Rhinolophus ferrumequinum: one gene and its partners. The protein of the gene in region 1 purifies or fractionates together with the protein of each later gene. This does not show direct contact. Links are inferred from orthologs where the notes say so. Each region holds a gene or a part of one and is shown in the gene's direction. Other genes may lie near its edges. The genes, in order: NRP1, mitochondrial chaperone BCS1, PLXNA1 and FAM241A.

Region 1 (7,829 bases):
ACTTTTGTGAATTTCATGAAAGACTAGCCAATTTTTCTAGGAAAATGTGTTCCTAGCCCAAATTTTCAACCTACGAAATTATCAAAATGACAGCAATAACAGCAGCTTCTGTGGTCAGCCTGGTCTTCACTCCAATTTGATTCCTCTCTGTAGACTTTTCGTAACTGTCCCTCTCCCCTTATTCTATGAGACAGAAGAAAATGCAAGAGAGTAGAGAGAAACTACCCCCACCAGAATGACAAACCTGCTTGCCATTAGACCCATCAGTTCCTCTTTTCCCACAGATTTATAACAGAGGAGCTGTCCCTCTTTCAATCTAGGGTAAATCTGTTTTTCTGGGCTATGGATTAAAGCCCCTCCTGCTTTCTGTGCTTTATTTTCAACATCTCCACCAATACTAGGTTCTACCCATCAGCATTTAAGAATGTTCAAAAGTACCTCATCTGAAAAGCAAACAAAAAAGAAAAACATCAACTGTCCTCCACACCTCTTCCTTCCAGAGCTATCTCCTCTCCTTCGGTAGAAATTTTGAGAGAGAATTGTCTCTGTTCATTGTTCCTACTTTCTTACCTCCCATTCATTCCCTAGCCCAGTTCCATCTGGTCTCTAGCCCTGTCCCTCCATTTACACCACTAAAATGGCTCTTGTTAAAAACACCTCTCAGTAACTATCATGCCATTATGTCCAGTTGCATTTTAGTCCTCAACCAACTAACACTCTCAAGGGTATTCAACTCCTTTGTCTAGCATTTCTTTTTGGAAATCTCCCTTCTACTTGATTTTTAAGACAGTATACTCTCCTGGTTTTCCTCTTACCTCTTCAGCTGCTCATTCTCAAGGTCTTTTGTTGTCTTATCCTGACAATCCAGCCTTTAAATGTTTCTCAGTTTTCTGTCTCGGCCTCCTTTTCCAATTCCCTTAGCAATTTTATCCATTTCTTCCACTTCAATTACAATATTATTATAATTACTGTATTATTACATTATATCACTACATATCAGTGACTCACACATTTGTATCTCCAGTCCAAACAACTCCTTTGTATTCCTAATTCATTTGTCTCAAAGAGACTGAAAATCTAGACCAGATCAAACTCATGGTCTTCCTTTCACACTTGTCTTCTAGTGTTCCTTGCCTATTCAAAGGCTATCACCACCACCCATCCAGTTATGGAAGCGAGAATCTTAAGGGTCGTCACTGACAACACCCTCTCCTTTACTGGCATATCCATCCCATCATCTGTCCTGTCAATTATATCTTCTAAATACATCAGGAATACATCTTTTTCCAATTTCCACTTCTATGATCCTGTTCACTCTCTTATTTAGATTCCACTATAGGTACTTCCTAACTGGTCTTTTTACTTCTTCCCCTGCTCCACCCATAACTCATTTTCCATGTAGCAGCCAGAGTCATCTAATAAAAGTACAAAATAAAATTAAATTGTGGTAGGATAAATTCAGCAATTCTTACCTGTGCTTTTGGTCTTTATTTTATATTTTTAAAATTATTTTTGCTGATTATTTCAAAATTCCTTAAAATTTTCCTTCTCTATTTAAGACTATAATTAAATTTTAAGAGAGCCGCTTCCTTATTTGATTGCTCAAATTATATTTTATAGATTGTCCTACTTAAAAATAGTCCTTTTTGAAATGTTGAATAGGTTCTCTCTAGTGATGTTTTATTGGTTTGATGAATGTTTCTATTGGTTATTACTATTTCTTAATTAAGTGATTCAATGAAGACAGAATAATCTAAGATTATTGTTTTAGGGCAAATAATATACAGTTTTCAAACTCTATCCCTAACCTCTAACACCAAAAATTGTTTTGAATCCATTAATATGATTCAAATTTTAGCATTGTATTCCTGCAACTTGTTATTGCACATATTATATTACAAGAATTTTGCATTGTAACTTTGTTTTTAAACTTTAGATGGTAGTCTTTTCTCCAATATTTGAAGAATTTTCAAGGTAACTTTGAAAAGGCCAAAAATGAAGGATCAGAAAGTAAAGGTTCATGTGTTTATTTTCTTCCTCTGCTAATCCAAATTAAGGAGATAATCACAAGTATGGTCCAAAAGATACCTCTTGAGTGATAGAGTCATTTAATGGAAGGGCATTTATAATAAAAATATTTTAAATAACAGTTCATTTAAATTCCAATTTTAAATCCTTTCCCAGTTTCACTTGTTCCACTCTTACATTTCAAATGTAGGTTAGCTCTTACTAAAAATATTTTTTTTTGCTTTTCTGAAATATGTGCTTTAAAAAACTTGACTAGACTTGATAGAGTTTTGAAATACCAACCTGAATCTCCATATTACAACAACCTGAAGTACTTTGAGGAAGTTAGTGGTTCAAATGGCCTTGTGGGAGCAATGTATCTCATCTTATTTTTGACAAATTAATGAGAGGTTGATGAAAGGAACCAAACATTTACCACCAGGTCTATTCTTAACGATGGACCACTGCTCAGGCCCTGCTTTCTATAGGTGGAAGCCAAGTGCCTTATTCCTGCAGCAGCCCCTGCATGGGGGGGGTCCATGTGGTCGAGTACTGCCCACCCAGGGCTTTTGACCATAGTTCTGGGAGTGTGGGCCATGAATCTTCCCTTCAGTGGAACTGGGTCCTATCTAGTCTGGGGATTTGTTATGTCAGGAAGAGTGATGTGTTCCTGAGACTAAAATAAAATCAACCCAGGAACACTGACAAATTTTTCCTCTATCACTTATTCTCCTATAAAGGTCGGTCTGTCTCCCTTGCTGGAGAATTGCAAAAATATAAAACTGACCCTTTTCAGCACTTAGTGGAATCCAAAAGCAGAGGAAAGAGGTTCTCAGGAAGGACAATTTACTCTGTATCAACCCACTAGCTGGCAATTGTCAATCAGTGCCATGGTGCTCTATTACCCAGTGCTGTGTGGAGCTAAGGAGTTTAGAAAGGCCATCAGCTAAGACTGGAAAAATCTGAGGTAGAACTTAAATACGATATCCCCACACACACAAACCTCAGAGAGCATAGTGCATGTTTTATTTGTTGGTTGGAGAAAGCCTGGCAAAAGTGTTCAAACTGGTGAGCAAGAAAGGAGACAGGCATTTTTTGCTCTTGGACTCACTGGAGGATCCCTTCCCGGGCACAGGCAGGCCTTCCCAGGTAGCCTGAGGGGCGAGGTTGTGGAGTGGGGGCAGTCCCTCTCTGAGTGCATGAGCTCATGGCTTTATTCGTTAGCCGGGTGGGTCCAGGCTGGGAAATGCACACTCAGCAGGGAAAGGGGAAGAGAGATTGGCAGCAGTTTTCTAAAAACAACACAGCTCAAGTCTCCCGCGTGTGCCCCCTTGCTCACCCCGGCGAGGCATAGACGGGTCAAACCCGGCTCCTGTAGCAAGCGGGCCTCCTAGTTCCCACTCGGAAGAAAAGGGCATCTGTGACTCTGGGACACTCCGGCCCCTGCACCCACCCGGTGTCCTTGCTCTGTTAACCTGCCAGTTTCTGAGAGGCCCCTCTCCCTCCAAGCTTTGGACTGAGGTCGCTGAAAGTCACCACAAATCTGATGAAGCCGCTCGCCAGACGCAGCTCGGGACTGGGACTGGCGGGGCTGCGGCCGGGACGGAGAGGTCAGCCGGGAGGAGGCGATGCGCCGGTCGTAGCCCAACACCAGGGTTCCCTCCACCGCATTTGCTCCCTCCCTCCCCGCCGCGCTGGGTGCGGCTGGCTCCCCTGCCTTGACTCCTGCCCGCCCGCTGAAGCTGGGGTTGCAGGGATTCCCAGCGCCCCGCCACCGCTCCTTCTGCCCCGCCTAGACATTGGACTCCCAGCCTCCTAGTGCCACCTCCTTAGCCCGCTCCTCCCAGGGGTCCCGGAGCCGAGAAGGAAAGGAGGCGTGCGGGAAAGGAGGCGCTAGCGGGCAGGGCGGGCTCAAGGCGCCCAGGGGGCTGGGTCTCCAGCTTGGAGGCGGGGGCTCCCCGGGAGCTGGCGGGCGGGTCGGAAAGCTTGACCTGCAGAGAACGAGAGGCGACTGCAGCCGCCGCGGATGCACCTCCGTGCGCGCTGGGCCAGCCTGCACCTCTGGAGACGCGCGTTACTGCGCCCAGCCGGGACCGGCGAGCGCCGGGTCTCTGCCAGCGGCCAGCTTGCCAAGGGCTCCCTTTCTCCTGTCCCGCCCCTAGTTCTTTCGCCAAAACCTTTGACCAGTGTCTCCTTGCCAACATTCCTAAATCTCCTTTGCCAGCTCTTTGCGCCAGGTAGGAATAAGGCTCTGCTTTCGGGTGTGTACCTAAACGCCAATCCCCAGAAGATGTAGTGACCTTTTCACCTTCCCCACGAACTCCTTCGGAGGAGGTCCGCGGGCATTTACCCCTGTCAAGGGCTTAATCGGTGGCCCAAACCTGTTTGTTCCCTGATATACCCTTGCTATTTTTAACCGCGGGAGCCTTCTGCTGCAGTTCTGGGAAAGCCTCAGGAAGGGAACTGGGGGGCATCCCGCCCACAAGAGAGGACGCGCCGCTCTGGGAGGTAGGAGTGGGCGGGAGCTAAAGGGACGTCGGTGACAATGGCCTGCGGCCCGGAGGGGGCACCGTGAGGGCCCTGCCAAGAGCACATCTCTTTCTTCCGCTACCACTGCGCCACCTCCCTTGGGATGCACAGAAACCGGGGCCACTGAACCCCTCATTTCCAAACCCGGATCACCTGGGCTCCGAGACATGGGTTGGGTGGGGTCGGACGACGGCTGCCCCCCGCCCACACACACACACACACACACACACACACACACATACACACAGCTGGCAGTCGCATCACCTCCCACCCTCCGGCGTTTCCTCTACCCCGGAGGAGAGGACACCAACACCGCGGCGTGAGGCGGCTACCTGGGCACCATGAGCGCTCAATCGCGCTCCCTGTCACGGGGAAGGGAGGCCGTGATCTGACACGGCTTAACGTGGCAGCGACACTGCCCACCGTTGCCCAGCTCTGTGGTGCGTATCCCGCTCCAGCCTCGCTCTCCGCCCTGTCCCTGCAGCCCTGGCCCGGGGCATCCAGGGGAGCCCCGCGGCTCCCTGCTACAGGTCTCCGGCCGGCACCGCGGGGAATGGCAGGGGCTGAGTCTGAGCTCCTAGCCGGGCGGACGCTGGCCGGGGGTTCAGAGCTGTGAGAAGCAGCCGCCACCTCCCGGGCGCTCGGTGCTCCTGGCGGCTGGATCCCGGAGATCCTCTGCGAGCTGCCTGCTGTCCCCACTGGGGTCCCGAGCGAGCACGCGGAGGTAACAGAGCCCAACACTGTCGCTGGCCCCCACCTCGACTCCCTCTCACACATGCCCAGGGCGCAGACCCCAGCGCCTCCCTCCTGCAGAGATCCCTGCAGGGCCTCTGGTAGAGACGGACGGACGGATGGGAAAGCACACCCAGGGAAACTTGTTCCTCCCCGTCTCCTGTCAGACACTGACTGGCGAGCCAGTGCGGGGAGAGGGGCGGGAGGAAGCGAGGGAATGGCTCCAGGAGGGGAGGGGGAAGACGGGAGGTGGGGGAGGCGGGGGTGCAGTTGGTGAAACTCCTCTGCCTCCCGCTCATCTTCTCATTGCTTGCTCCTCTCTGTCGCGCAGACACCCCGGACCTCCCCTGGGCGCCAGCTCCTCGGCTCCAAGCGGCCCAGAGACAAGCCGGATTATTTTTTCTTTCTTTCTGGAAATTGGCTTGTGTGCTTCCCCACCTCCCTCCTCCCCCACGCAGCTTCCCCCACCCCCCCGCGCTTTTTTTTTTTTTTTTTTTTTTTTTTTTTGAGACATGGCCCGGGCAGTGGCTCCTGGAAGAGGAACAAGTGTGGGAAAAGAGAGAGGAAACCGGAGCTAAATGACAGGATGCAAGTGACTTGAGACACAAAAAGAGAAGCCTTGCTCTCCGATCAAGGCATTGCCTCGCTGCTTTCCTTTCTCCAAGACGGACTGAGGATTTTACAGCTCTAGGCGGAGTTGGAGCGCTTCGGATTGTTTAGATTCCCCTCTTTGCTCTATTTTCCCCGCACGTCCTCGTTCTCCCGAGTCTGCTGGGGATCCGGCGAAGGGAGAATGGAGAGGGGGCCGCAGCTCCTCTGCGCCGCGCTCGTCCTCGCCCTCGCCCTCGCCCCCGCCCCGGCCAGCGCTTTTCGCAACGGTAAGTGACAGGCAGAGGCGCGCGTGACAGCGCGGGTCCGGGGCTCCCTAGCTGCCGGACCCGGCCCGGGCGAGGCTTCCCGCCCAGCCACGATTCACGCAGCGCTGCAGGGATGAAACCGGAATAGCCACCTCCCAGGCGAAAGAAACTTTTTATCCAGGCGGAGAAATAAAGAAATAAGACCAGTCGGTTTGGGGCAGGAAGATTTCAAGTCCTCCGGCTCCCTCCTGAAGTTGGTGCTTTGGCTGTGGGGGTTTTCCCACCACTGTTACAAGGCAGCGCTGCCTACCTTCCCATATCAGCACACCAATTATCTTAATAATGTTTCCTCCCAAAGGCAATTAGAATGAGACTCCCTTTCAAAAATCTGAAGGCTGTTGAAAGTTAATGAACGCTTTACCGGGAGAACTTCCTGGTTCCCTTGCAGCTCCCCTAAACTGTTTCCTCTGGTGGGTGCCTGCAAGAGATAGTGGTTTGTTGGTTGATTGAACTCCCTCCTCAGCCTTTGTAAATCGTCCCTAATCTGTCTGAAGCATGAATGAAAGTTCATAGTGTCAATAAAGGAATCTGATATATACAGTGTAAGGCACCGGGATATCTGAAAATCCCTAACCTAGATACAGCTTCCACTTAGCTTTACAAATCACCCACTGTTAAGTAAATGAAAGACTGTGCTGCATTATAAACAGTATACTGTAACCTAAATAATGTGTTTTAAAATGTGATCTGGTTGTAGGCATGTTTCATTTGCACTGTGAAGTAGGAGAAGGCAAGGATATGAAATTATCTTTCCAGTAAATCTTCAGCGATTATTAACTAATTATCAAATGTTTACTTTTGTCTGGCTTAGATTTCAATCAAAGTAATTAGAAGAAAAGACCATCCACTACTTACTGAGGTATATTGTTTTAATAAGTGACCACAAGTGGAGGGGGTTCAGACCAAGAGGAATTTAAATCATGTCTTTATGGTGGAAGTTAATCTATCTAATATGCTTTTTGGAGGTTTTTTGATTGAAGCAATAGATTTCCACCCACGGCTACCAAGCAGTGTTCTAAAGGGCTTGGAAGCAAAATATACTCACAGATTTGTGAATATGAAGTTCAATTTATTAATGAACCTGAGTTGGTGGCATATTTCTATAATCTGGTAGGGAATGAAATAACATTCTCCTCCATTTGAAAGAGCCCAAGTGGTTAGATTTTAGAAATTGCAGCAACTCACCCTCCCCAACTCCTGAGATTAATCAGTTGCAGGGGTGATCACAGAATGAATTTGAAACCTAATGCAAATAGATTTCAGACTTTAGGTTGTGAACGCCATATATATGTATATAAGTGTGTATGACTACATATATATATATATATATATATATATATATATATATATATATATATCTTTTCTTAGTAGAAATTAGGGGAATGCTAAGAACCTGAGCTTGTCAGTGAGCTTGACTGGTTAAAGCCATGTTGCTATGCTTGCAGTGACCACAGCTTCTGTAATTCAGCAGACCTCTTAAAGCCATGTCCACCTCCTCTGAGTACCAGAGTCTGCTAAATTAATTCATTAACCTTATTTAGGACTAATGGTTCAGAGTCATTAGAAATTGCTCTTTCTTAATCAACTGCTAGAGAGATTGAACAGAGCCAGAGAGTCTAGCAGTCCACATTATCTTATTACACT
Region 2 (7,509 bases), on another chromosome or scaffold:
GGTGTCAGGAGTGCCCCGGTGAGTCTTGAAGTGGCTCTTCAGGGTCTGGGGTTGGGCAAACTCCTGTCTACACACAGGGCATGGCAGGGGGCTATCTGGTTGGTTCTGGCCCTGCAGAGGGCCAGGGAGAGTGAGGTTGCTGGGGGGCAGCTCTACAGAACATGGAGGGCTAGCGAGGCCCTGCGCAGGCTGCATAAGGGTCTCAGTGCACTGGTGCAGGGCCAGCAGAGTGGGCTCTGCGAAGCTCTGCTCACAGTGCTCACAGAAGTACACCTCCACCACCTTTACCAGGACACCTGCAGGCAGAGGACCGACAGAAAAAGGCATAGAATCAGATGGAACAAGATGCGTAGGAGTTAGTTTCTAGCAGAAAACATAGGTGAATCTTAATATTCATGGAGTGGAGACGGACTTTAAGTCTGGTTCTGCCCCTGGACCACAAACCCCATCAGGGGAGGGACAGTCTGCCTTGCAGATGTGTTTGAATTCCCAGTATCTAGCACAATACTTGGCACAAAGTAAGTACTTAAGTATTTGTTAAATGAATGTAGCAAGCATTAACCAAATTAGAAAGCATTAAGAAAAGGCAATATATTTTGCCCAGATGAAAAATCAGAAACTTAAAAAAAAAAAAAGAAAATGACAATCTCAGGACACTATCTGCTATATTACAATATGAGTGTTACATTCTGTAAAGAGATTTTTATCAGCACAGTAATTCATAAAATGGAGAACATCCTTTTTGAAAACAGCCAAATCCTGTTCATAATAATCACTGCCATTTCTTAAGCAATGGGCAGGACCTTGATAAAGACAGGCTTAGGAAACACTTTTGGTCCTCCAACTGCCCTATGAAAAGAGGGCCCCGGGATTCTGTGAGGTTAAGGCCACCATGTTTGTTAATGGTGGAGCCATGACTCACGCCCAGGTTTGTCTTATATTTATTCTGGTGGTCCTTTTTCTCGTTATGATTTTTTTGTTTGTTTAAATAAATATTGAGTGCAACAATTCAAACAATACAGACATATTTCACAAAAAGAATATTTCCCATCCCCCCCCCACACACACACAGTTTGGTCTGTATCCTTTCAGGCCCTTTGGGGGCATTTTTCTGCAATTTGCCTATTTTTTTTCACTTATCTATTTTTTTTAATCTATGAGTACATTTACATCTACTTCATATTTTTTTTAGTTCACAGTACTTCTGCGCACAGATAAATTAAAATGAAATTCTGTCCTTACTGATGGACATTTGAGTTGTTTCCAACCATTACAAATAAAGCTACACATCCTTACCCCGTATCCTTGCACATGTGTGTGAGTCTATAGGACAAATCCCAACAAGTGGAATTACTGGGTCCGAGTATGCATATTTTAAAATTTTTTAGTTATTTTTAACTGGAATTTATTGGTGTGTTAGTGAGATTAAGCATCTTTATAGTTACTATTTTTATTTCTTCTTTATTGAATTTCATATAGATTTCTCCCCCCACTTTTTTTTTTAAAAAATACTGTTTCAATTTTTAAAAAAATACTGTTTCTTTTTTCTTATTGTGGAGCTCTTTAAGTTTTAAAGATATTAACTCTTTCTTATACATTGCAAATGTTTTTCCCAGGTATGTTTTTTATTTATTATTTCTTTACTGATTAGAAGTTTAGAAATATTATATGATCAAATTAACTAATCTTTCCCCGTGTTCTTTGTACACTGCCAAGGGAAGTTGTGACAACTATAGTTAAAGGATGGCAGTTAAAAAACAGGAAATTACTTAAAAATAAGAAGTTATAGATGTGGGAAGAATAAAGGGGAGAATCTTTCTTCTAGCGTAAGTGTAAATGTTCAACTCCCACTCTTAACCACATGCCTTGGATGAGTTAAGTATGTTATACACAAGAAACTAGGGCAGGGAAATACCTGCCCAGATTACCTCTGGGAAGCCCTGCCAAGTCCAGGGTAGTAGAGAGAGGCTGGGCATTTTGCCTAATCCCTGGCTGCAGTTCCTGGGTGGGAGGGTCAATATGGGGGAAAGAATCCCCAAGGATTATTGGAGTAAGGATTGGCGGAGGTGTCAGAAAGGTCTTCCCTTCTGGATTACTGCTTAGCAGACATGAAGCCCTTACAGGGACAGACTGTCAAGAGCTTGGTACAAGGTTGTGCACCACCTTGCCAGCCTTCAATCAACATTTACCAACTGCAAATCCTATTACCACATCCCTAAGTATAAAGATAGGATGCTACCTTGTGTTCTCATCATATTTATAGAGACGGAACAAAAATAGCACAGACGAAAATCTCAAGGCTGTTCGCCCCACTGGCCTGCTAGCAACTGTGTTCATACCTGAGGTCTCTCCAGGAGCACCTGGGGACAGATTTCCAGCTACTGCTTCTACAATGATCTCCATGTTCCCTGTGTCCTCTTCAGTGGCTGTGGTCTCTACCAGCAGGCAGCTTGGGTTAGCAGGTAAAGGTGTGGGGTCCCCAGAAGGACAGGGGCTCTGGACAGGCTCCAGGATTCCAGGGTTAGAGAGCGGTGGGGGGATCAGCAATAGCTCAGGACACAGTCCATCCATCTCTCCAGTGCTGTTGCTTGGCTGTGAGTCCAACACGGGGTCTGTCATTACCACCAACTTGTGTGCTACGGTCTCTTAAGTGCTGATAAAACAACTAGAAGAGAAACCAAATAAAATATAGTAAGATCTCTCACTTTCTTCCCATTTGATGTGAGTGGACAACCCAGAGCCTGCCCCCTTAGATACTGCCTTGCATGGCAGCATGCCACAACTCATCAACCTAGAAGTTTTATTTTTATGACAATGTCTAGAACAAAAAGTATAAAAATTATAAGAGGGATTAATATTAGGAGAGAGCCAACAAGTTTGGGCCACTATATTAAAGACCGCAGGTGAAGTTTTTGGAGCTAAGTGACATTGGTCAAACCATGAAGCAATCTGGATCTCTCTTCTTAGCTGCAACAAAATCGGGTGGGGCCCAGGGATCTCAGATGGCCCTTCCCTTCTTAACATTTCATGAACTCACTCACTATTCCTTAGTATGGGTATGAGGCCCTTCCTTCACCATCTGGCCCCTGCTGACCTCTCCAGACTCATCTTCCGTCAACAGACCTCTGAACCACTCATACCAATGATCTGCCATTCCCCACACTCACCACATCCTTTTCCTTCTGTACGTTCACACATTGTGTGTCTGCCTGTCTCTCGGCTTTACGGGCCTTTCCCCCTTCTCATTTTTGTCTGGCTAACCAACTCCTTTAAGAATCTGCACACATGTCACTTCCACTACGAAGGTTTCCTGACAGGTTAAGGCAGAAAGGCCTGGGGAATGAATGAGACCTGGCCTGGGGACCACAGGCGCCGGGTTTCCACCTGACTGTGGGCTCTGACTCACCGCGTGGATTTGGACAGATACAGTCACCTCGCTTCTCTGGGCCTCAGCTTTCTTATCTGTAAAGTGGAGGCGACGACAGAGTCCACATCGCTGGACAGGAGGCGGAATCACAGACCGGGCGAATGGGAAAGCCGATTTGTAACCTGCAAAGCTTGGGATGAAGCATTGTCATGATTACGGTCCTGAGGAGAGCCAGCGGGTGACAGGGCGGGGTCCAGAGCAGTGACGCGATTGAGGAACTGGGGCAGCTGATGTGATGCGCCGGGGCCCCGCTCGTCGGCGTGCTCCCTTCAGCACCTCCTTTCAAGGGTTCCCACTTCCCAGTCCCACCCTCATTCTGGGGCTCGAGAAACTTTTCCCTCCAGCCCGCTCCATCCACACTCCCTACTAGCTCGCTCCCCGCAGCCGCTCAATTACCTTTCGGCCCAGAACCGGCAGGAGCCGCATCTCTATGATCGACCAGAAGCTGGAGCGGCCTCCCAGGACTCCCTTTATGCGACCGCCTCCGGCCCAGCGGCCTCTATGGCATTGGGCCTATGGAGACCGCTCTCTCTACCTCTTGGCGGCGGGAGTAGTACTCTATGGTTTTCTCTATCGTTTCCCCAACCTCCAACTCCTCCCAGCCAAGAAGCCCGAGGAGCACCATCGAGAGTTGTGGAGCAGAGTGGCACGGCGCTCGTGGTGGGCGTGGCGGGAAGTAGATGAGCGAACTCGGGGCGGGGCCGAGTGGCGCTTCCCTGGAGTGCGGAGCGGTGAAACCACTGAGAGGGAGGGCCAGAGAGTCATGGCGGTAAGGGGGCGGAGTGACACATTACTCCAGAGCACGTTGCTGGAGGCGCGAGCTGGGGTGTGGAGGCTGTTCGGGAGGGGGCTTCTGAGCGTCCATCAAGGACCCGGAACGGATAGGGCTTTGTCTGTGGCCTTCCATGCATAGGTATTTTGGAATTCTGGTTCCAACTCTGAGCCTCAGCGGAGGTCACTGCTGTCAGTTCACCGCTCCGCGTGCCAGGAGCACAGCGAAGTGCAGGGGGCCGGGGAGGTGTACTAAAAACCATTTGGCTTCCTACCTTTCGGGATCTTATAGTCTAGAATTAGACACGGTCACGTTTTATTGCGGAGAATTCTGAAAAATCACCATGGAGAAAGTAGCAGATGAGGAGGACTTCAGTTGGAGAGAAATTAAAATAGGCTTTCAAGTTGAGAGAACTGCTTGAGCCAGGAGGTGGGAAGTGGTTTGCATATTTGTTCAACAGGGAGTTAGTTTTAGGAGCTGAGCCATGAAAGGTAGGTGGGCGGTTTGTTATGGAGGGCTTTGAGTATCAGGCAAAGGGGTTTTTGTTTGTTTTTTACTTAATTCAGGGGTCCGTTGAGAGTGTTGAGTAGGGATAGTAATTAAAGCCAATCTGTATGAAGACCTGGGCCTCTGTATAGCAGTTTCGTGAAGCAGGGAGTGGAGACCAATTAAGTGCCATTTCAAGAACTAAATTTTAAAGAGACTTAAGGTAGGAGGTAATAAAGGGCTAAACAGGACATCAGGAATTGAGCATGTAAAGGAGAGGATATTCGAAGGACGTCACTCATGGTAACAAGGCTTGGGGTTACTGACAGGTCAGGGGAAGACAATGGCTTCATCCCCTCCTAACTCTGGCCAGGGGGCCCCTTTCTATCTCAGCTGGTCCCAGGGACCACAAAAATTCTGTTATCCTGTTGTGAAGCTGGTTACACTGTACTCTCAGAAGTAAGAGATCTCCAGACATAGTTTTCTTTCAGGAAACAGGTATGAGCAGTACAATGATGGGCAAAATGGGCCAAGGGGCCTGGAGGCTCAGCCCTTGCGTCACAACACCATGGCCGTCCCACAAAGGGAGGATATTAAAGTACACAGTAGCTGACCTGTCTTTCCTGCTCCCAGCTTTTGCAGGAGGAGGGGGAGGGGAGGAATTGTGGAGTCCAGTTTCTAAACTAATCTTGTGCTTTGTCCCATCCCCACTGCACCCCATCCCCAGGTTTTGAAAAGGCTTCAGGGCCTGTGAGGTTGTGTTTCCCTTTTAAGATGCCCCTCTCAGACTTTATTCTGGCCCTGAAGGACAATCCGTATTTTGGGGCTGGATTTGGACTGGTGGGTGTGGGCACGGCCCTGGCCGTGGCCCGGAAGGGCGCCCAGCTAGGCCTGGTGGCATTCCGGCGCCATTACATGATCACACTGGAAGTCCCTGCTCGAGACCGGAGCTATGCCTGGTTGCTGAGCTGGCTCACCCGCCATAGTACCCGTACGCAGCACCTCAGTGTCGAGACCTCGTACCTTCAGCATGAGAGTGGCCGCATCTCCACTAAGTTTGAATTTGTCCCCAGCCCTGGAAACCACTTTATCTGGTAAGGTGGGGAGCCAGGGAGGGAGGGCTCCAAGAGTAGAAGAGGAGAATGAGGAGAGCTGAGTTTCACCAGTTCATTCACCCCAATTTTGATCATTCTTATTCAGGTATCAGGGGAAATGGATCCGAGTGGAACGAAGCCGAGATATGCAGATGATAGACCTGCAGACGGGGACTCCTTGGGAATCTGTCACCTTCACGGCTCTGGGCACTGACCGCAAGGTTTTCTTCAACATCCTGGAGGAAGGTGTGGTATGATGGCATAGGCAGGCTCTATGGGGGCTTGCAGGGATGGGGGCATTTAACCTAGAGAAAATAAGCTTGGAAGCTATGAGCCGCTGGGAGCAGGGGGCCGGGGGAAGCTGTTTTTGTTTTTGCCTTAGTTGCACGGCAGAGAGGAATACTGACTTTGTTTCATATCGCCCCTCCCCCACCCCCTGCCTCCAGCTCGAGATTTAGCCTTGCAGCAGGAGGAAGGGAAGACAGTGATGTACACAGCCGTGGGCTCTGAATGGCGCTCCTTTGGCTATCCACGCCGGCGGCGGCCACTGGATTCTGTGGTTCTAGAACAGGGCTTGTCTGAGCGAATTGTCAGAGACATCCGGGAATTCATCGATAACCCCAAGTGGTACATTGACAGAGGTGAGCAGTGGCTGGGGTCTTGGTCAGACCGTGTTTGATGTTAGAGCAGGAGGAAACAGGCTAGTCTCTGGCCAGATGGAATGCATGTAAAGCTCTAGCCCAGTTCCCAGAGATGAAGGGAAAGTTGCCTACGGTGATGATTTCTTCCAATGCCAAGGTCCTTGGGCCTCCGAGGAGCAGGGTGGGACTGAATGTGGACATCTGGGGTAGAGTACATGATTTTAGGCCTTGGTGATCATCCTGGCGGTATTTCTAGGCATTCCTTACAGACGTGGCTACTTGCTTTATGGACCCCCTGGTTGTGGAAAGAGCAGTTTTATGTAAGTAGTCAATGTTTCTCTTAATCCTCAAACTGGAGGAAAACTGGGCTGATGGGATTGGAAAGAGAAAGGAATGTGGGGAACAGGGACCAGAATAAACATGAGACATGAGGAACATTAGGGTGGGGTGGTGGGAGGGGTAGGCCTGAGACACACCTAGTACAGTGAGGAACAAGCAGTGGGCCCAAGGACGAATTCCCAGGTTGCTAACCATCCGTCCCCCCATCTTCTGTAGCACAGCCCTGGCTGGGGAACTGGAGCACAGCATCTGCTTACTGAGTCTCACAGACTCCAGCCTCTCCGATGACCGGCTCAACCACCTGCTGAGTGTGGCCCCTCAGCAGAGCCTGGTGCTCCTGGAAGACGTGGATGCTGCCTTTCTCAGTCGAGACCTGGCTGTGGACAGTAAGTAAGGGGAGTTGAGGGAAGGGGTTTCTAAATGAACAGTAGAAGAAAAGTGGGAATCCGGGGGGCTGCTGGAGGTTGCCTGGGCTAGCAGTAAGAGCCCACAGAGACGCAATAAGTAGGGGAATGTGGTGGGGAACAGAAAGGACTGATTTTAAGCTTCTTTCTCTCTGCCTTCTATAGACCCAGTAAAGTACCAAGGTCTAGGTCGTCTCACCTTCAGTGGACTGCTCAATGCTTTGGATGGTGTGGCTTCCACTGAGGCCCGCATTGTGTTCATGACCACCAACCACGTGGACAGGTAGGAAGGAGTGAGGTACTCTGAGGCCAGGCTCCACCTCAGCGTCTTAGGAGGATTAGGAGG
Region 3 (8,367 bases), on another chromosome or scaffold:
GGATGATATGTGCTGTGGGAGCTGCATCAAGCCACAGATTGCAAACTGGAGACCTGCTGGCTGGGTTCTTCTCATTGGTGTGTCTTGTTCACTCAACACTGGCCCAAGAGCATGTCCGTGCTTTCCACAATTGCCCTCCAGGTCATCGCCCACTCTAGCCCTCACCAGCTCCTAGATCCAGCCTCTTACTCTTTACATCCATTATCATTTAGCCCCTGAAGTCATCTGAGCTAGCAGCCCCAGGACAAGGCAATGCTGACTCCCCAGTGCTCTTGGAGAGTATCTATGGAGTGGTGGGTAGGGAGCACTGCTACCGTGTCTTCTATACAATGTAGTGCTGACAGTAACCTGGTTGCATCCCCAAGGCCAGGTGAGGGCTGGTGACATACCTGAGCCTAGACTGGTCACAGCTGGCACAGACAGGGACAGGAAGCCTGAGGCGGATTCACAGGTGGGAAGGGCTGTAGTCAAAAAAGCTTTCTGGAAGGGGTACGGGTGGGAACATGGGCCTTGAAAGATGGAAGGTGGAGGCGGGGGCACTCCTGGACAAGGGCACAGCACAGGGAAAGACCTGAGGTGCAAAGGCATCTTTGGAGCAAGACTCTCAGCATGACAAGAACACTGAGCACAGTGAAGTAGTAGCAGTTAGGTAGGTGGGGTCCTGGATGCTTTGCCTACCCTGCATCCTTGTTTTGCTAATTGCACCAGGATTTTCGGTGAGGGAACCACTCCCCGATGCTACCCCTGGCTCTGGAGAGCTACCCGATCCCCGCCCATCAACAGTCAGGTTCTATCCCTTGGCCATGGTAACTGGTTCAAGGGGCCAAGGGAAAGAGCCTAATCCAGCCCACTTCATGAGGCTCCATTCTGGGAATTTCCCGGGACCTACTGGGAAAGAAGCACCTGGAGGTGCCAAAGCCACCATACACAGAGGCCTGTGTGGGCGTGAACCAAGGTAGTGGCCCACTATGGCCATGCTGTGCCCGAGACCCAGCCATGCTCACTTGCTGCTAACCTGAGCCACTATAGGCTACTTGGAGCTTAAGCCCAGTTGAGTTTCTGTGTCCTGAAACCAACAGCGCCTGACTGGTGAGGGCAGGGGTTGGCAGATGGAGGAGGCCACGGTGGGCCTAGTGGCCTTCTCTTCAGAGTGTCTGCACCTGGGTGAGCTCCTATCCTCCTGCTTTAGAGCCGTGGGCCAAAGGCTTGGGGTGTGGGCATGGCTCTGGCTCCTGAACAGGCGCCCCAACCCCCTCTGCATCCAGCAGCTAGAGTGGGCTCCTAGAATGTAGCAGTGACTGCGTTGTGTCCACAGTGGCAGCCTGTGGGCTGAGGCTGACAGCACCAACCCCACAGGGGTGCGTGAGGAAGAGCCAAGATGACTCCCGGTGCTGTACACTCAGGGCCGGCCCAAGGCAAGTGCCCACCAAATGTCGAGGAACAGCCAGGGAGTACCTGCTCCATGCCTTCCGCCAGTGTGTATGCACACGTGCATATGTCTGTACTCATATGGGTGCGGGGATGGAGCATTCTGTGTGTTGAAGGAACCGCTGGAGGGTCTGCACAGGGAGGGTCTCCACACTCTCTCCTCTCTCAGATCCCTCTGGCCACAGTGCGGAGAGCAAGGCGGGGAGGGGCAGGTGGGAGCTGGTGACTAAGGAGGCCTCCACACCTGTGGGGCAGGAGGTGACAGGAGTAAGAGACATGAGAAACAGTTTTGATGTGGGGCGAGGGGCAGGCAGGAGTCAGGGTGACCCTAGCTTTGAGCCCAGGGGCCTGGGATCAGTGGCTGTCCCGCAGGGGTTTCGGGTGCCCAGGACCCCTTGTGCTCCCTCCCCTGTCCTCCTCACCCATCAGTGACGGGGAGGGAAGAAGGCACCCTTGAGTCTACTTTCGAGCAAAGCTCTGAGTTACCAAATGGCGGAAGCAGCCCCTGGAGCTGCTTGCATGGCAGGAACACTGGGAGGTACTGAAAGAACCTCCTCTCAAACCTTGATCAGAGCTCTACCTAGGAATTGTTCTGTGCCATTCAACAACCCCATGCCTTCCTGAACTACTTGGCAACCAGAAGCAAAACCACAGAGGAGACCAGACAGGAAGGGCCCAAACTGTCCTGTTGACTCATTTGCCCCCATCATGCACGATGAGGAGCACCAGGGCCACACACCCAGGTGCGAATCCAGCTGGACCTCACTCCTCTTCATCTGTACTTGGGGCAGGCTCCTTGGAAGGCAGCATCAGGACACACACACAAACACACTAAGGGAAGGTCAGACAAAGCTCCACCTGGTGGGGACCACCACACTTGGCTCATTGGAGTACGTTATTTCCCATTTTCTCTTCAACAAACTGCCTGTCTCCTCCCTATGTTCCTACTGGGTTGTTGTCTTTTCCTTATTGATTCTTGTGAGTTCCTTCTAAAGCCCGGGTATGCATCTTTTGTCAAATATATGTGTGTTGCAAATATCTTTTCCTAAATCTTGGCTTGTCTGGCCACTTCCTCTTTTGTAACTCTTACTGAACTCTGTAATTTTAATGAACAAAAATAACCAGTTTTAAGGTACTCAAATTGATTCTTATTTATTTTTGATGTTTCATTGAAGAAATCTTCCCTGGCCCACGGTCATAAAGCTAATTTGCTCTGTTGTCTTCTAAAAGTCTTGCAGTTTTCCTCATTGTGCTCAGGTCTATGGCCCTCCTGGAATTGATGGTCACGCATGATACGCGAGCATTACATAATCAGATTTCCATCTTGGAAAGAACTTGCCACCCGTCACCTTTTGGGGAAAGGACAAAGTGACATGATCAGGAGCAGGGGACAAAGTGGGGATAGAGGGTAGTGGTATAATCTGGTATAACATGTTTTGGGGGATGCAGGGGCCCTGGGGGACACTGAGGTTCTTGGTGGGGCGACTGTAGGATGTGAGCGTGTGAGCTTGGCCACCACCCAGAGCCCAGCAGCCCTCCTGAGCCCCTCGGGGAGACAATAGACATGGGGGGCTGGAACGCAAAGCAGCAGCCCTGGCTCTTGGGACTGTGGAACACAGAGTGAGAAGGGTCTTGTGCAGTGCCTGCCTCAGTGGACCCACAGAGGATAGGCTGTCAAGGAGCAGTCAGAGAGGTGGGGACAGCCCTGGTGCCAACACAGGAAGCAGGGAATAGACATTTTCTCAGGCCCACTGTGGTGCTCACACTCACGCCTCCTCACCGCGCTTCAGTGAGGGGTCTCTGACTCCATCTCGCAGATGAGGAAAGTGGGTCTTGGCAACAGATGGGACTCGCTGCACCTTAACTAGCCACTCCAGAATGTGAAGCTAGGTATGTGGCTCAGACGTTCACAAGGAAGGGCAGGTACTTGGGTCTGGTTCACAGGCGTGTGTGTGTGTGTGTGTGTGTGTGTGTGTGTGTGTAGTACAGTGGCTAAGTTGAGACCACAGGCCATGGAAATATACTGTGAGAAGTAGCCCCCCAGCTCTGACACCTACCAGCTAGGGAACTTGGGCAAGCCACTTCACCTCTCCCACCTCAGTTTACCCATCTTTAAAATGTAGCAGAACCCTGTGCAGTGTCAGCACTAGCTAGATTAGTGCTTATTCAATAAAATAGTAAACAGAACTTTTGAAAGAGATGCTCACCCTTATTCAGGGACATGCAAATTAAAACCACAACGATAAATCGGTGCATACTACCAGATAGATAACTCCAGAGTGACAGTACCAAATGTAGGCGAGGATGGGGGCTGCCAGGACCCAAACTGCTGCTGGGACTGCAAACCCGGCTATCACTAGGGAAAACTGCTTTGGGGTGCCCATCAAAGCTAAACACTCAGCTACCTGATGATTTAGCCGCGCATCAGATCTAACCGCCTCCAAGAGCCTGCACAAGATGTCCATCACAGCTCACTGCACAGTGGTCCCAAACTGGGGAGCTGGTTCATCAGCAGGAGAAAAGATGACTAGCACCACCTGCTAAGACATAACAAAGAGTAAACAAACTGCCCATCAGCAACCCGGCCTTGCTGGGCCCACACAGCCCAGAGATCGCGTTTTTTACGCCGCCCCACAATCACAGCAAAGTAGCATGTTCAAATACCCAAAGGAAACCAAGGGAAGGATTCACCTAGAAACTAGGCTAGGGGCTGCACGGCGGGAGGGAGGGGCGAGGGGGGAGGGACCCCTGCGCCCGGCCGTGTTCCTTACCCGGGACTGTAGCCGTTTCCTCTTCTGTGGGGATGACAGGCAGGTACTCACACAGCAAGAGAGCTTCTCCGTGCTCTGCTGCTCTCCCCTACCCAGCTCACCCTTCAACCGCGAGGCTCTCTGGTCCTTTCGGTTCTACTAAAGGTGCTCCTGCGCCTCGCCTCACCTTCCACGGGGCCTTCTGTGGGGAGGCGTCCCCACGCCCCAACCTTTGGGCGGCTCTGAGAACGCGCAGGCAAGCACCATCACGAATGACTGCTGTATGCCCCCTGCTGGGCCACGGGGCCTCGCGCCCTCGGTGGACAGCCCCGGCCCCCGATACCCGCGTCCCGCGGCGCGCCCGGCCTCTGGCTCGGACGGCCTGGATTCATGTCCTGCCACGCCCCATCTCGGGACTCGGCGACGGAAATTTCCTTCTGGGTTGCGTCTGGGTCTGTGAATGCGCAGCTGAGAGGTTTTGAGGGATGTAGGGTGTTGTGCGGCCCGGCCAGCAGAGGGCGCCGTTTTGCTCACTAGCGAGGGTATCCATCCCACCTAACAGATGCGATCGCCAAGGCCAAGAGGTGGGGGGACCCACACCACAGTCCCGCATGACCCAGGGTAGGGTGTTTTCCCTCCTCCGGCCTGTTTACTCTTCCGTGAATGGAGGTTGTGCTCCTAACCCGGGCACACGGAGGCCTCTGGGGACGCAGGCTCAGGTCAGCCCGGATGCGGGGGGCTCGCGGGGACGCCCCGCCGCAGACCCCGCGCCCAGCCACTAACAGCAGGCTGCTGCATCACCGTTTGAAGGCGCGCGGTGGGCCGGGGCGGGCGTGCGGCGCGGGGCAGAGCGCCCTCTGGAGGCCTCTGCCGGCCCCCGACGCCCGCGCCTGCCCCGCCCCCCTGCCTCGCCCCCCGGCCTCGGGCGGCGCATGCGCGCGGCCAGGCGTTCCGCAGGCGGCGAGATCGAGGCTAGTCCGCAGCCGCGCGGAGCTCGGCTCCCCATTCATGCTGGGCAGCGGCGACGCGGCCACGCAGCGGAGCCCCGGCGCGGCGGCGGCCTCGGCCTGGGCGGCCTGTACGGCTTCGGCGGCCCGGCGGCTGGGCAAGCAGCGGCTGGGCGGGCGGCGGAGCGCGGCGATGGCCGGCGGCAAGGCGCGCCCGGGGGCAGCCGGTGAGTAGGAGCGCAACTTTCCCCGTGGCGCGGGGCGGGACAGGCGGGGGTCTCGGGCCGGGGGCGCGCCGGGTGGGAAGCGCCCTCGGTCGAGCCGCCCAGGGTGCGCGGACGTGAGGCCGGGTGGGCAAGGGGTGTACGCGGAGGACTGCGGCGTTCGTGTCCCTGTGTCCCTGCGGCTCCGGCCCGGCTCTCGCGTGTATCCGGGCGCGGCCGCGGCGCCGGTACTGAACGCGTCGTGTCCTAGCCCGGCGGGGGTCGGACCCAGCCCCAGGCCCCGCGCCGTGGGCCTCCCCGCCGGCCCGGCCCTCCGAGCTCCTCCGGGCAGCGCTCCGGGCGGCGCAGCGGGGCTAGGGCTGGCGCTGCTCTCTCCTCTAAGGCAGGAGAGAAAGTTTGAGGCGGCCCTACTGGGAGGGCCCTGCGGATACCCAGGCCGAGCCCGGAGGCTGGACCGCGGCTGGGACCTCTGGCCGCCGGTAGGGCTGGGCCGGTCTGGGCAGGCCCGGGCAAGGCCGCGGGAGCCAAAGGAGGGCATGCGGGGCTGCGCCCCTGGTCGGCCCTCAGAGCGCGGGGGTGGAAGTTAGAGCCGCTTCCTCGGGTCCCAGGCCCGCCCCTGGCCCCTCTGGCCCCGGGTGCTGGGAAATGGGCGCTATGTCCGTTCCAGGCCCGCTGGGCCGCGCACCCGGGCTGGGAGGGGGCGGTGCGGGTGCCGCCCGGGAGGCCGCCCCGCTGTCTCGGGCCTTCCTAGGCCTCCCCCTCGCAGGGCCTCTCCAGGGTCAGCTTGCTTCCCTCGGAGGCTTCCGATTGCTTCCTGGATAGTCCCTGGCCCGGGCCTGGTGTGTACCGGAGCTGGGGGCGGCGGGGCTGATTCGGGACTGCCTCCGGGAAGGGGAAGGGGGAGCAGGGCGCCAGGGAGGACCCTGGCCTCTGTGAGATCCCAGGTGCAGCCCGGGAAAGGGGGGTGAGAGGGGCTGCAATGACTGCCTAGAGACTGGAGCAGCCCTAGCTGATCTGTGGGGTGCTGGGACCACGCCCCTTGAAAGAAAGGGGTGTGTGTGTTCAGGGGTGGGATGTGGACCATGCCTCTGCCCCCTGAGCCTGGGGTCCTTCCCCTTCTTCCGTGCTGAGGCCGGTTCTCTGGCTTTGGGCAGGGGGGTGGGGCTCAGCCTTTGCTCCTCTGGCCCTTGTGAAGCACGACCCAGGTACCTTCAGCTCCTTACCCGTTTGGGGTACACAGGAGAGACCAGGTGTTGCACGAGACTGCTAAGACCCTGCCCAGCCCTTGAGGAGCACCCAGTCCCAGGCCAGAAGCAGACTGGAAAACCAGTGATTCCGCTTCAGGGCCTAGCAAGGGCGTTTCAGGCAGGGGACAGCATGGGTGGAGGTCTGGCAAGCCCCTGTGTGGCTGAGGTGTGTGCTTGGGGGTGGGGGACAAGTGAGGTGCCGTGGACAAAGCACACAGCTCTTTTCTGGTTTGCTGTGGTCCCCAGGTCCTTGCCTGCATCTTTTGATACCCCAGGAAGGTCCCCTTGTCTAAGAAGCAAGCCATAGGAGGAGAGGGCACCACTTCTAGGGAAGATCAAGTGGTGGGCACTTTTTGAGAAGCAGGACTGTAATGCTTCCCGGTGCTGGGCCCCTAGGACTGGTCTGGTGGGAGAACAGGGCGTCTCAGTACCACCTCCCGGGGCCTGTGTTGGGGGCAGGGGTCTGACAGAGGTGGCTCTCTGTCCTGGTTGACAATGGGGCACCACTGGGCAGGATGGCAGTGTCTTTTCTCTGTCCCCCACTCCCTGCCGGTGCCCTAACCTGTCTGAGCCCCAGAAGGATCCAGAGCCTGAGGCGTGGGGCCTGGGCTCTGCCTCTGCGAACAGGGCTGAGTGAGGGCCTTTGTTTCTCAGGGTGAGGAGGAGTGGTGGCTGGGAGAGGGGCGCGGGACCTTGATCTCTCCATGTTCTCCTGTACAGCTGAGCCCGTCCTGTCCAGGAATGGTGCCTGCTATACCAGGCCTGTCTGCCTCTGTCCTGGCCTCTCTCTCCCTGGCTCACCCCCATTCACACACTTAACGCCAGTTCAGCTTCTCACTCCCCAGTCTGGCTCTGACTGGGCCCCAGCAGAGCCTGCTTCTCATGCCGAAGCCAGGAAGCTGCGGTCATTCCCATTGCCCTCTCTGCGTTGTCCAGCAGGTTCCACCCCCAGGCCTTTGCTCTTGCTGCTCTGCCACCCAGGATGCCCCCTCCCATGCCAGCTCCCACTGTGCCTGGTCCTTCTAGAACAGGTGGAAAGGCCCCCTGGGGGAGCCTCCTCAGACCACAGTGGCTTGTTCTGCTCCCTCCCAGCCACAGAGCACTGCAGGTGTGGTGCTCTCCTCCTCCAACCCAGCGTGGTCCTTCCCAGCACTCAGGCAGCTTTGGAATGAATGCATTTTTTCCTGGGCAGACCAAAGGCACGTGGGAGTCGAGCCCCAGCAGGTCTGTTGGTCATCCAGGTCTCTGTAGGAGCCTGGGATTCCGTCCCTGTCCTGCTGGGACTAGCTGGGTGACCTTGGATCTATCTGAGCCTTGGGCCCTGTATCAGTAAGATAGGGGCAGTGACCCAGACGTCTTTCCTGGGCCTTGTGAAATGATGGGCATGAAGGAGCCAACCCTGGGTTCCTGATCCCCGTTTCCTAGCTGGCAGCCCCATGCCTCTGGCCGGTCCCTTCTTTACCAGGAAGCCTCTGTTGGGGGCAGGGGGAGTGGGCCCAGGGCCAGGCCTGAGTTTGGATGGTGGCTTTTTCAGCTGGGTCCCTCCTGTTTAATATAAAAAGTAGGGCCCCTGATTGCATTAAGACGTGTATAATTATCCCTGAAGAGGGGAGAGCCCAGCCCCTGGTAATTGCAGGTCTGCTTTGAACTGATAAACGGTGAGTGATTCATGTTTTCTTTGGAGTTCACATGCACTCAGCTTTCAGTCCAGGCCCCACTGCCACTGTGAGGAGCCTGTTCTCCGCCTACTGGTCTGCCTTGGGCTCCTGAG
Region 4 (7,597 bases), on another chromosome or scaffold:
ACAGCCACAGCCCGCTGAGTGCTGACTCTGGCATCTGTGCCAGCTTCATCCTTGGGGCGGTGCTCACCACGGCCCCTCCCTGGTCTTCTCACCCTTGCTCTTCTTCAAAATCATGGTCCCCGCTTCAGCTCAGGCTAGAGCGCCTCTCACAAGTCTTCTCACTGGTCTCTCTGCTTCCTGTCCCTGCAACCTCCACGCCATGACCAGCTTGATATTTCTAAGCTAGGGATCTAAGCCTGTCGCTTCCTGTGAGTAGAACTACCAAGAGCTTCCATTTAGGGTAGGGAACAAAGTCTATCATCGGCACAATGTCCATTGTCTTTATCAGGCTTCATGTTCTTCTCCTGGTGTCATTTGCTATCATAACACCCCAATTCACTCACCAGGTACCCCCGCTGTCAGCATTAATCTGTATGGTTGGATGACAGGTGTGGACTTTAACAGATAGAGGCACCAGAACTGAGACTGAGCCTGAATGTGGGAACCTGAATACAGACTTTAGTGAATAATAATGCATCAACATTTGTTCATTAATTGTAACAATTCTGGAAAGAGAAATTATAAGTAAAATAAGATAAACCTATTGCATAATAATGGGTAATTTCCTAGTAGAAATAGACATTAACAAAACAGACCCTAAAATAAGGAAAATACAAACAGATCAGTTAGCCATCCAGGACTTCTTCACCTGCTGGTTCTCCTCTCGTTGTTCTGGGGTTCCCTCTCCCGAGACAGAGAAGGGACAAGAACAGAGCTGGTCAGCAGCTTCCTTAAGGTCTGACCCCACCCAGTGTCCTTATGTCCCCCACTTGTGCCCTTCCCCCACCCAGTGAGGACACCTTGCAAAGGGAGTCTCAGGGATTATTGATTCTAATCAGTCAACCAGGACTTTTTTGATTGGGAAGAACTGGACACACTTACTGAAGTACAATTAATTAATAATTGTTTCAATGGCAGCAGTACATTAATACTTGCAAGAGGCAACTTAAGAGTTGTTCAAGTTCTCACAGTCACACTGTGTGAGCTGATCTCTCTCCAACACTCCGTCCTGCTAAGTGCCTTTCGGTGGCCCCATTCACACGCACAGTCTCTCTCCCTGCATCCAGGGTCTCCAGCCACTCTTTCCCATTGGGTCCCATGAAATGTCACGGCTTTAAATACGCATGGCTAGGGTCACGTTCTCATGCTTGAACCCATCAGAGCACCCAGAGGATGGAACAGACAATGGACTAGATGTGGGGTCAGCCCTCTGGAACTGTTTGGAATGGAAGCAGGTGAGATGAGTTCCCTGGAAGCTGAGGTGCTGGACTTGGGCCCAAAAACAGAAGCTGGGTCAGGGAAAGCAACAGATTCCATATCACTGAACCCGAACCCTAACCCCCTAAACCCAACCTGAAACCCCAAACGTAAAAAACCCTTAAATTCTAAACACTAAACCCTTAACCATAAGCCTAAATCTTAACCTAAACTGTAAAACCTTATAACCAGAAACCAGAACCAGAACTATAAACCAAAACCTAAACCCTACTAAATTATAACTATAAACCATAAACAATAAACTGTGAACCATAATCATAAGCCATAACTATAACCATAAACTATAGCCATAACCATAAACCATAAACTGTAATCATAAATCATAATCCAAAACCAACAACATAAACATAGCCATAAACAATAAACATAATGCATAACATATTAACATAAACCACAAACTGTACACATAGCCATAAACAATAACCATAAACTATAACCAAACCATAACCCATAACCTTAACCCCTAACTGGGCACTATACTTTACCTCAGCCCCAACCCTAGCTCTGTAAACCACTAACAATAGCCCCTATCCAATCAAATCACAAATACATCACAAAACAAAATATACAGACCTATATTCCTTATAAAGACGTAACAATGCTCCATAAAATAGGAATATGAAACCAACTACACATTAATATAATTATGCACCATAAGCAACTGTGTTTACACCAGAAATTTGAAGGTTGTTCAATGTACTGAAACCAAACTATGGAATACCCAGCAACAACTGTCGCGTCCAGCATGACGTGGATTGTGGGGAGGGAGAAGAGCAGCACAAGGTTAAGAAAAGACAGTAGCCATGATTATAATACGAGCGTGGCCAAGGGTCTCAAGTCTCAAGGACTGAGCCCGAATCGGGCCAACGCGTAGTTTTTATTGGTAAACTTCTAAAGAGGTAAAAGATGGTTAATCTCAAGATCTGTGTGTTAGTAGCCTGCTGGCTGTCTTTCTGAAAGTTCCTATTGTGTTCCAGCTTGTACTTTGCCTTCACAGACACGCACATCTCCAAGGAATCCATTGAAGGGGAGGGACCGATATAATTCCATCGGGTCTCAGTTTGCTGAGACTTCCCCTCAAAGGAGCTTTTCCGATATCTCTCCATCGGGCCTCAGTTTGCTGAGGCACTCCCTTGTGAAATCCTGGGAAGAGCACAGGGGAACAAACGGATTGGCAGCTGTAAGGCAACAAACAACAGTATGAAGGAAAAACACGTGATCACATCAGTGAGGCACAAAAAGCTTTTCACAAATCCCAGTCCTATTTCATGATCTAAACACTCAAGAATGTAGGAATAAAAGGAAGTTTCTTCAATATGATCAAGAACTTTAGCCAATACTGGGCCGGCCCGGTGGCTCAGGCGGTTAGAGCTCCATGCTCCTAACTCTGAAGGCTGCGGTTCAATTCCCACATGGGCCAGTGGGTTCTCAACCACAAGGTTGCCGGTAGGATTCCTTGAGTCCCGCAAGGGATGGTGGGCTGCACCCCCTGCAACTAGTAATGGCAACTGGACCTAGAGTTGAGCTGTGCACTCCACAACTAAGATTGAAAGGACAACAACTTGACTTGGAAAAAAGTCCTGGAAGTACACACTGTTCCCCAGTAAAGTCCTGTTCCCCTTCCCTAATAAAATCTCTAAAAAAAAAAAAAAAGAAAGAAAGAAAGAAAGAAAGAAGTCCCCAAAAAAATTAAAAAATTAAAAAAAAGATTAGGCAAATAATGGCAAATATCATAGCTCTTTTTTTAAGATGACAGATTTATTCCTGAAATCAGGAACAATGCCAGGATGCTGGCTTTCACCACAGTCATTCCATAATGTCCATCTGGAAAGCTCAATCCAGAGCAATTAGGAAAGGAATGAGAGGCATCCCTATGAAAGGAAAAAGTGAAACTGTCTATTCACAGATGACACATCACATCTTCTTATATATAGAACTTCCAAAAGGATTAACAGAAAAGTGTTACAGCTAGTAAACTAATTCCTCTATAACAAGAAGTAAAAGTTGACAAATCTATGTTCAGTAATTATTTTCTCATATTTGGAAATTATCTAGACATTCAGTGAATATCTGTCATTTAATTTAGATAGCAAAACTTCACAGTTTCAACTTATCAAAGACACATAGAAAACCATATATGTACTCTCTCTATATATATAGAGAGAGAGAAAGAGAGTATATATATAATATACCTATATATATTCTTACCCATTTATAGACATAGACACAAAGGCAGATACACCAACAAATGCTCCCAAGGCTTGTACAACCAACATAGATACTAGAGAGGACACAAAAGGAACAAAAGAGACAAAGAAATATGGATTACTTGCCAGAGTTTGACTATTATGGACACCCAGACACAGCCCAGTGCCATGGCAAACCAGAGGGACAACACTGGAGAATAACTGTGTGCTTCACTCCCTCTCTCTCCCTCTCTCTCCCTCTCCCTCTCTCTCTCTCTCTCTCTCACACACACACACACACACACACACACACACACGCTGTCTCATACACGGTCTCACACCATCTCTCTTAAACATATAGTCTCTCAGTCTGTTACAGTCTCACACACACACACACACACAGGCCCTCAGTCTCACACACAGGCCTTAAGGCTCTCACACACTCAGAGACTGAGGCCCTGAGTCTCACACACACACACACACACACACACAGGCCCTCAGTCTCGCGCGTGCACACGCACACACGCGCACTCCGTCTCACACACGTGGTCTCAGTCTCACGGTCTGTTACGCAGTCTCTCACACGCTCGCTCGCACTCGCGTGCCCCGTCGGCCACGCCCCCTGTGGCTCCTCCCAGAGGCAGGGGCGGGGCCGGTGGGTGACAGGAGGGGCGGGCGGGGCTAGCACTCCAGGAGTCCCGACCACGCACTCGGGAGCCTCGGTCCGCGGCGAGAGGCCCGGTCCTGGGCGGCCCACGGGCGCTGCTGCCTCGCGGGTCGGGACCTGGCCCTCCGGCGGCTGTCGGGGAGGCGAGATGTGCTCGGCTGGAGAGCTGCTCGGCGGCGCCGGCAGCGGGGCGCGCGAAGAGGACGGGGACGCGTTGGCGGAGCGGGCTGCGGCGGGGACCGAGCGGGAGCCCGAGATGAGCTCGCGGCGGCGCGAGCGGCGGTCGCAGGAGGAGCGTGAGCAGGTGAGCGCGGAAGTGGGCGGCGCGGCGGGTCCGTAGCTCTGCGGGCGGGCTGCGCTGGGCCGGGGAGTCGGCCCGCGGCGGTTCCTGCGCTCCTGACGTGCTCCTGCCATGTCACTGCGCCCAGCGGGCCAGCGGGGCTCGGTCGGTCCTTCCCCTAACGTCGGGCAGAGGATTCTCAGGCCGGCGCCTAGGGTTCTGCGCAAGTGCCCTCAACCGTCACTTGTCTCTGTCTTCCATGCGAACACTGTGTTTTCATCTTCGAGTCCGCCCTCGTGCTGCGCCCTAGGGGACAGCTGCGCCCTCCCGCCGCCCTCCTGGCACCTCTGTAAGGTGTTGGTCCCTTTTCCTAGGTGGGTACCCGGTGTCAGAAGGCATGTGGAGGGGCCAGTATTGCAATAGATGTCGTGACAGGGACTATCCCAGAGCACGTTCTTCACATGAATGCAAAAGAGATCTAAATTACATTTAAAAGGTGAAAAAGCAAGATAATCGCTTTCCGTTTGTACCACAGGTACAGAAGTGTGAGACGCCAGCAGTAATAAGGAAAAAGAGAAGTTGGGTAATTTTTGAAACTCCGAATTTTCTCTCACTCAATGGGTGACAATAGGCATTATAACATCAAATATCTTCAAGATTAAGCAAGAAATTTAATAAAAGAAATGTATTGGTGGGGTGAATTTTCAGCAGCAGATACAGTGATTAGGTTTCAAACTTTCCCGAGATTAGCCAACCTTCAGAATCCCGTCTAGGAGCAGGATTCTAACAGATCACTTGCCTTTACTACAGCTTATAATGTTGGGACAGTTGACCCCTCTCCCCTCATCCTCTTCCATCTGTCCTTCCTGTCATATTTCACAAACTCGAATATCACTAAAGGCATTGATAGCTAAAGTATAACTTCTAGTCGTCAACGGTTTATTTAGGAAACAGAATTAACAGTGTGGCACGCAGAACGATGCCTTTGCATTATGTGAAGTGTAATTTTTCATCCTTATGACAATGTAAGACCTAGTGACTAAAGGAAATCATTGGTAGGTAAGAGGTCTTCCTGATTGCCTTCTTGATGTTTTTTTCCAGTTAACTGTACCATGACTCAGTAGCTAAAGGGCTTAGTTTCCTCTTACTTTACTTGTTCAACTGGAAAAGTGAAGAAAACAGACAAAAGGAACTGACTTGGTGATGGGAGTGGGGGTTGCGTTTGAGGTTCCCAAGGTACATTTTCGGATGGCTGTAAGGGAGCATGTAAAATCCTTCACGTGCACCTCTGTGGATTTGGCATCATGGGTAGCTCTGATCTTATCAAAATTGCTTGTGGTTCAAAGAAACAGGGTGAAACAAAAAAAAAAAAGAATGAAACATATATCCCAGAAAACAGATATCACTTTGCATATCTACTTCATTCGTTGCATGTCATGGACATTCATTTTGAAGTACTCCTATGAAAATATTATCATTTTATTTTTAACACATTTATTTACATATACAATAATTGAAAATTACACCTGAGATATGTATTTCTTCCCATATCAGAACTAAAGAACTTCTTATCAAGAGGCCACAAATAAAATTGGTGCAACCCAACCCATTGGTGTAAGAAGCAAGCCTTTTTTTTTTTTTAAATGGGAATAAGTCAGTCTACTTCTTTTTTTTTTTTTTTTTTTTTTAAGATTTTACTGGGGAAGGAGAACAGGACTTTATTGGGGAACAGTGTGTACTTCCAGGCCTTTTCTACAAGTCAAGTTGTTGTCCTTTCAGTCTTAGTTGTGGAGGGCGCAGCTCAGCTCCAGGTCCAGTTGCAGTTTTCTAGTTGCAGGGGGCACAGCCCACCATCCCTTGCAGGACTCCAGGAATTGAACTGGCAACCTTGTGGTTGAGAGCCCACTGGCCCATGTAGGAATCGAACCACAGTCTTCGGAGTTAGGAGCATGGAGCTGTAACTGCCTGAGTCACCGGGCCGTCCCAAGAAGCAAGCTTTTGAGATAAGTCATTTCTTAGTAATATCACAAAGGCTTGTTTTCTAGTTTTTTTTTAATTCCTGCAAATGTAGTGTAAATTTCTTATGCACTCCCTCCAGTGATGTTAGAGATAACTGCAGATAAAAGGGGGAAGTAAATGAGGGAGAAGTAAATCACAACTATACAACATATCCTAAGGAGTTGTTTTATTTAGTTTTTCTTTAGGGGGATGGTGTGTGTTTATTTTGTTGTTTTAAGACACATAAACATTTTGTTGTTTTAAGACACACAAGGTCCAAATTACAAATGGACTGTTTTTGAAAACTTGGTTCATAAACTAGTTATTTAAAACTTAAAGTGAACTGATAAATAGAAACAATGATATAAACAACAGAACCAAAACTAATTACGTAACTGGAAATGAGGCAGAGGCCATCTTCCTGCTGTGCTTTCTACTTAGCACACTTGCTCACTTAGCTTCCAGAGCCTCAGACACCGAGAGAGACATGGAGGCCAAGAAAGGAAGAGGCGCCTTTGAATGCAACAGCTGTGGACGTCACCTGACTTGCTCCTCTGGTGATTTTTGTCAGTCACTACTGTTCTGCATTAAGTCCCTCTCTAGTTCCACTCCTTCGCAGAGTTTCGCCATTACCTGATAATTTGATGAAGCAGTTTCTTCCCCAGGCTAAGGGCTCCTCTACATACTTCCTTTCCTTCACTAATTTTTCTCTCCTCTCCTGTGTGAAAGGCTCACGCCCTTCCCTCAACCAGGAAGCCTCTTACATCAGCTTTGACTTTACAGAAACTATCTTTGGCTCAGGGTTGTCATGATACCAGGTCAAAATGTATCTGTATTTTGGTATTTATTTCACGTAATACTGAAATACTGGTATTAATACAGTTGTTTTCTTAGTAATAGAGATATTGTCAGCAGTAGGTTTGCTCACTTTGTGGAATCATCGAATTTTACAGTTTGTCCATAGTTGCTACTCCATTGGAGAAAAAACTAAGGTTCTTCTGTGCTTTTGGCCAATCTTTCCAGGCAATATGATTGACAGAGGAGTCCTGGTTACAATCAAGTCTCCTAGGGGAGGAGATCTGGAACAATAGAACAAGTCCTCTAGATGAAGGAACTGTGTCAAGTTTGAAGTAGGAGTTGGGCCTCTCA

What was found.
Region 2: the proteins of NRP1 (region 1) and mitochondrial chaperone BCS1 purify together in Homo sapiens (affinity purification with mass spectrometry; 3 studies listed by BioGRID and IntAct, counting the BioPlex papers as one, with this or other methods). This does not show direct contact. The link is inferred for Rhinolophus ferrumequinum from reciprocal best matches to the Homo sapiens genes NRP1 and BCS1L.
Region 3: the proteins of NRP1 (region 1) and PLXNA1 purify together in Homo sapiens (affinity purification with western blotting; 4 studies listed by BioGRID). This does not show direct contact. The link is inferred for Rhinolophus ferrumequinum from reciprocal best matches to the Homo sapiens genes NRP1 and PLXNA1.
Region 4: the proteins of NRP1 (region 1) and FAM241A purify together in Homo sapiens (affinity purification with mass spectrometry; 3 studies listed by BioGRID and IntAct, with this or other methods). This does not show direct contact. The link is inferred for Rhinolophus ferrumequinum from reciprocal best matches to the Homo sapiens genes NRP1 and FAM241A.

The regions. Positions count from the first base shown.
Region 1 is NC_046288.1:4,335,980-4,343,808, reverse strand, and holds the start of NRP1 (neuropilin-1), read left to right. Parts: upstream 1-4,767; 5' UTR 4,768-4,976; intron 4,977-5,599; 5' UTR 5,600-6,061; coding exon 6,062-6,146; intron 6,147-7,829. UniProt on the Homo sapiens protein: Cell-surface receptor involved in the development of the cardiovascular system, in angiogenesis, in the formation of certain neuronal circuits and in organogenesis outside the nervous system. Mediates the chemorepulsant activity of semaphorins.
Region 2 is NC_046291.1:16,706,126-16,713,634, reverse strand, and holds the start of mitochondrial chaperone BCS1, read left to right. Parts: upstream 1-4,107; 5' UTR 4,108-4,196; intron 4,197-4,207; exon of another isoform or gene 4,208-4,340; intron 4,341-5,412; 5' UTR 5,413-5,459; coding exon 5,460-5,779; intron 5,780-5,885; coding exon 5,886-6,025; intron 6,026-6,225; coding exon 6,226-6,420; intron 6,421-6,676; coding exon 6,677-6,740; intron 6,741-6,975; coding exon 6,976-7,145; intron 7,146-7,328; coding exon 7,329-7,446; intron 7,447-7,509. Other genes in the region: ZNF142 (zinc finger protein 142), read right to left, coding at 1-296, 2,340-2,619. UniProt on the Homo sapiens protein: Chaperone necessary for the incorporation of Rieske iron-sulfur protein UQCRFS1 into the mitochondrial respiratory chain complex III.
Region 3 is NC_046302.1:2,593,161-2,601,527, reverse strand, and holds the start of PLXNA1 (plexin-A1), read left to right. Parts: upstream 1-5,309; 5' UTR 5,310-5,352; intron 5,353-8,367. UniProt on the Homo sapiens protein: Coreceptor for SEMA3A, SEMA3C, SEMA3F and SEMA6D. Necessary for signaling by class 3 semaphorins and subsequent remodeling of the cytoskeleton. Plays a role in axon guidance, invasive growth and cell migration.
Region 4 is NC_046301.1:928-8,524, forward strand, and holds the start of FAM241A (uncharacterized protein FAM241A), read left to right. Parts: upstream 1-4,157; 5' UTR 4,158-4,318; coding exon 4,319-4,474; intron 4,475-7,597.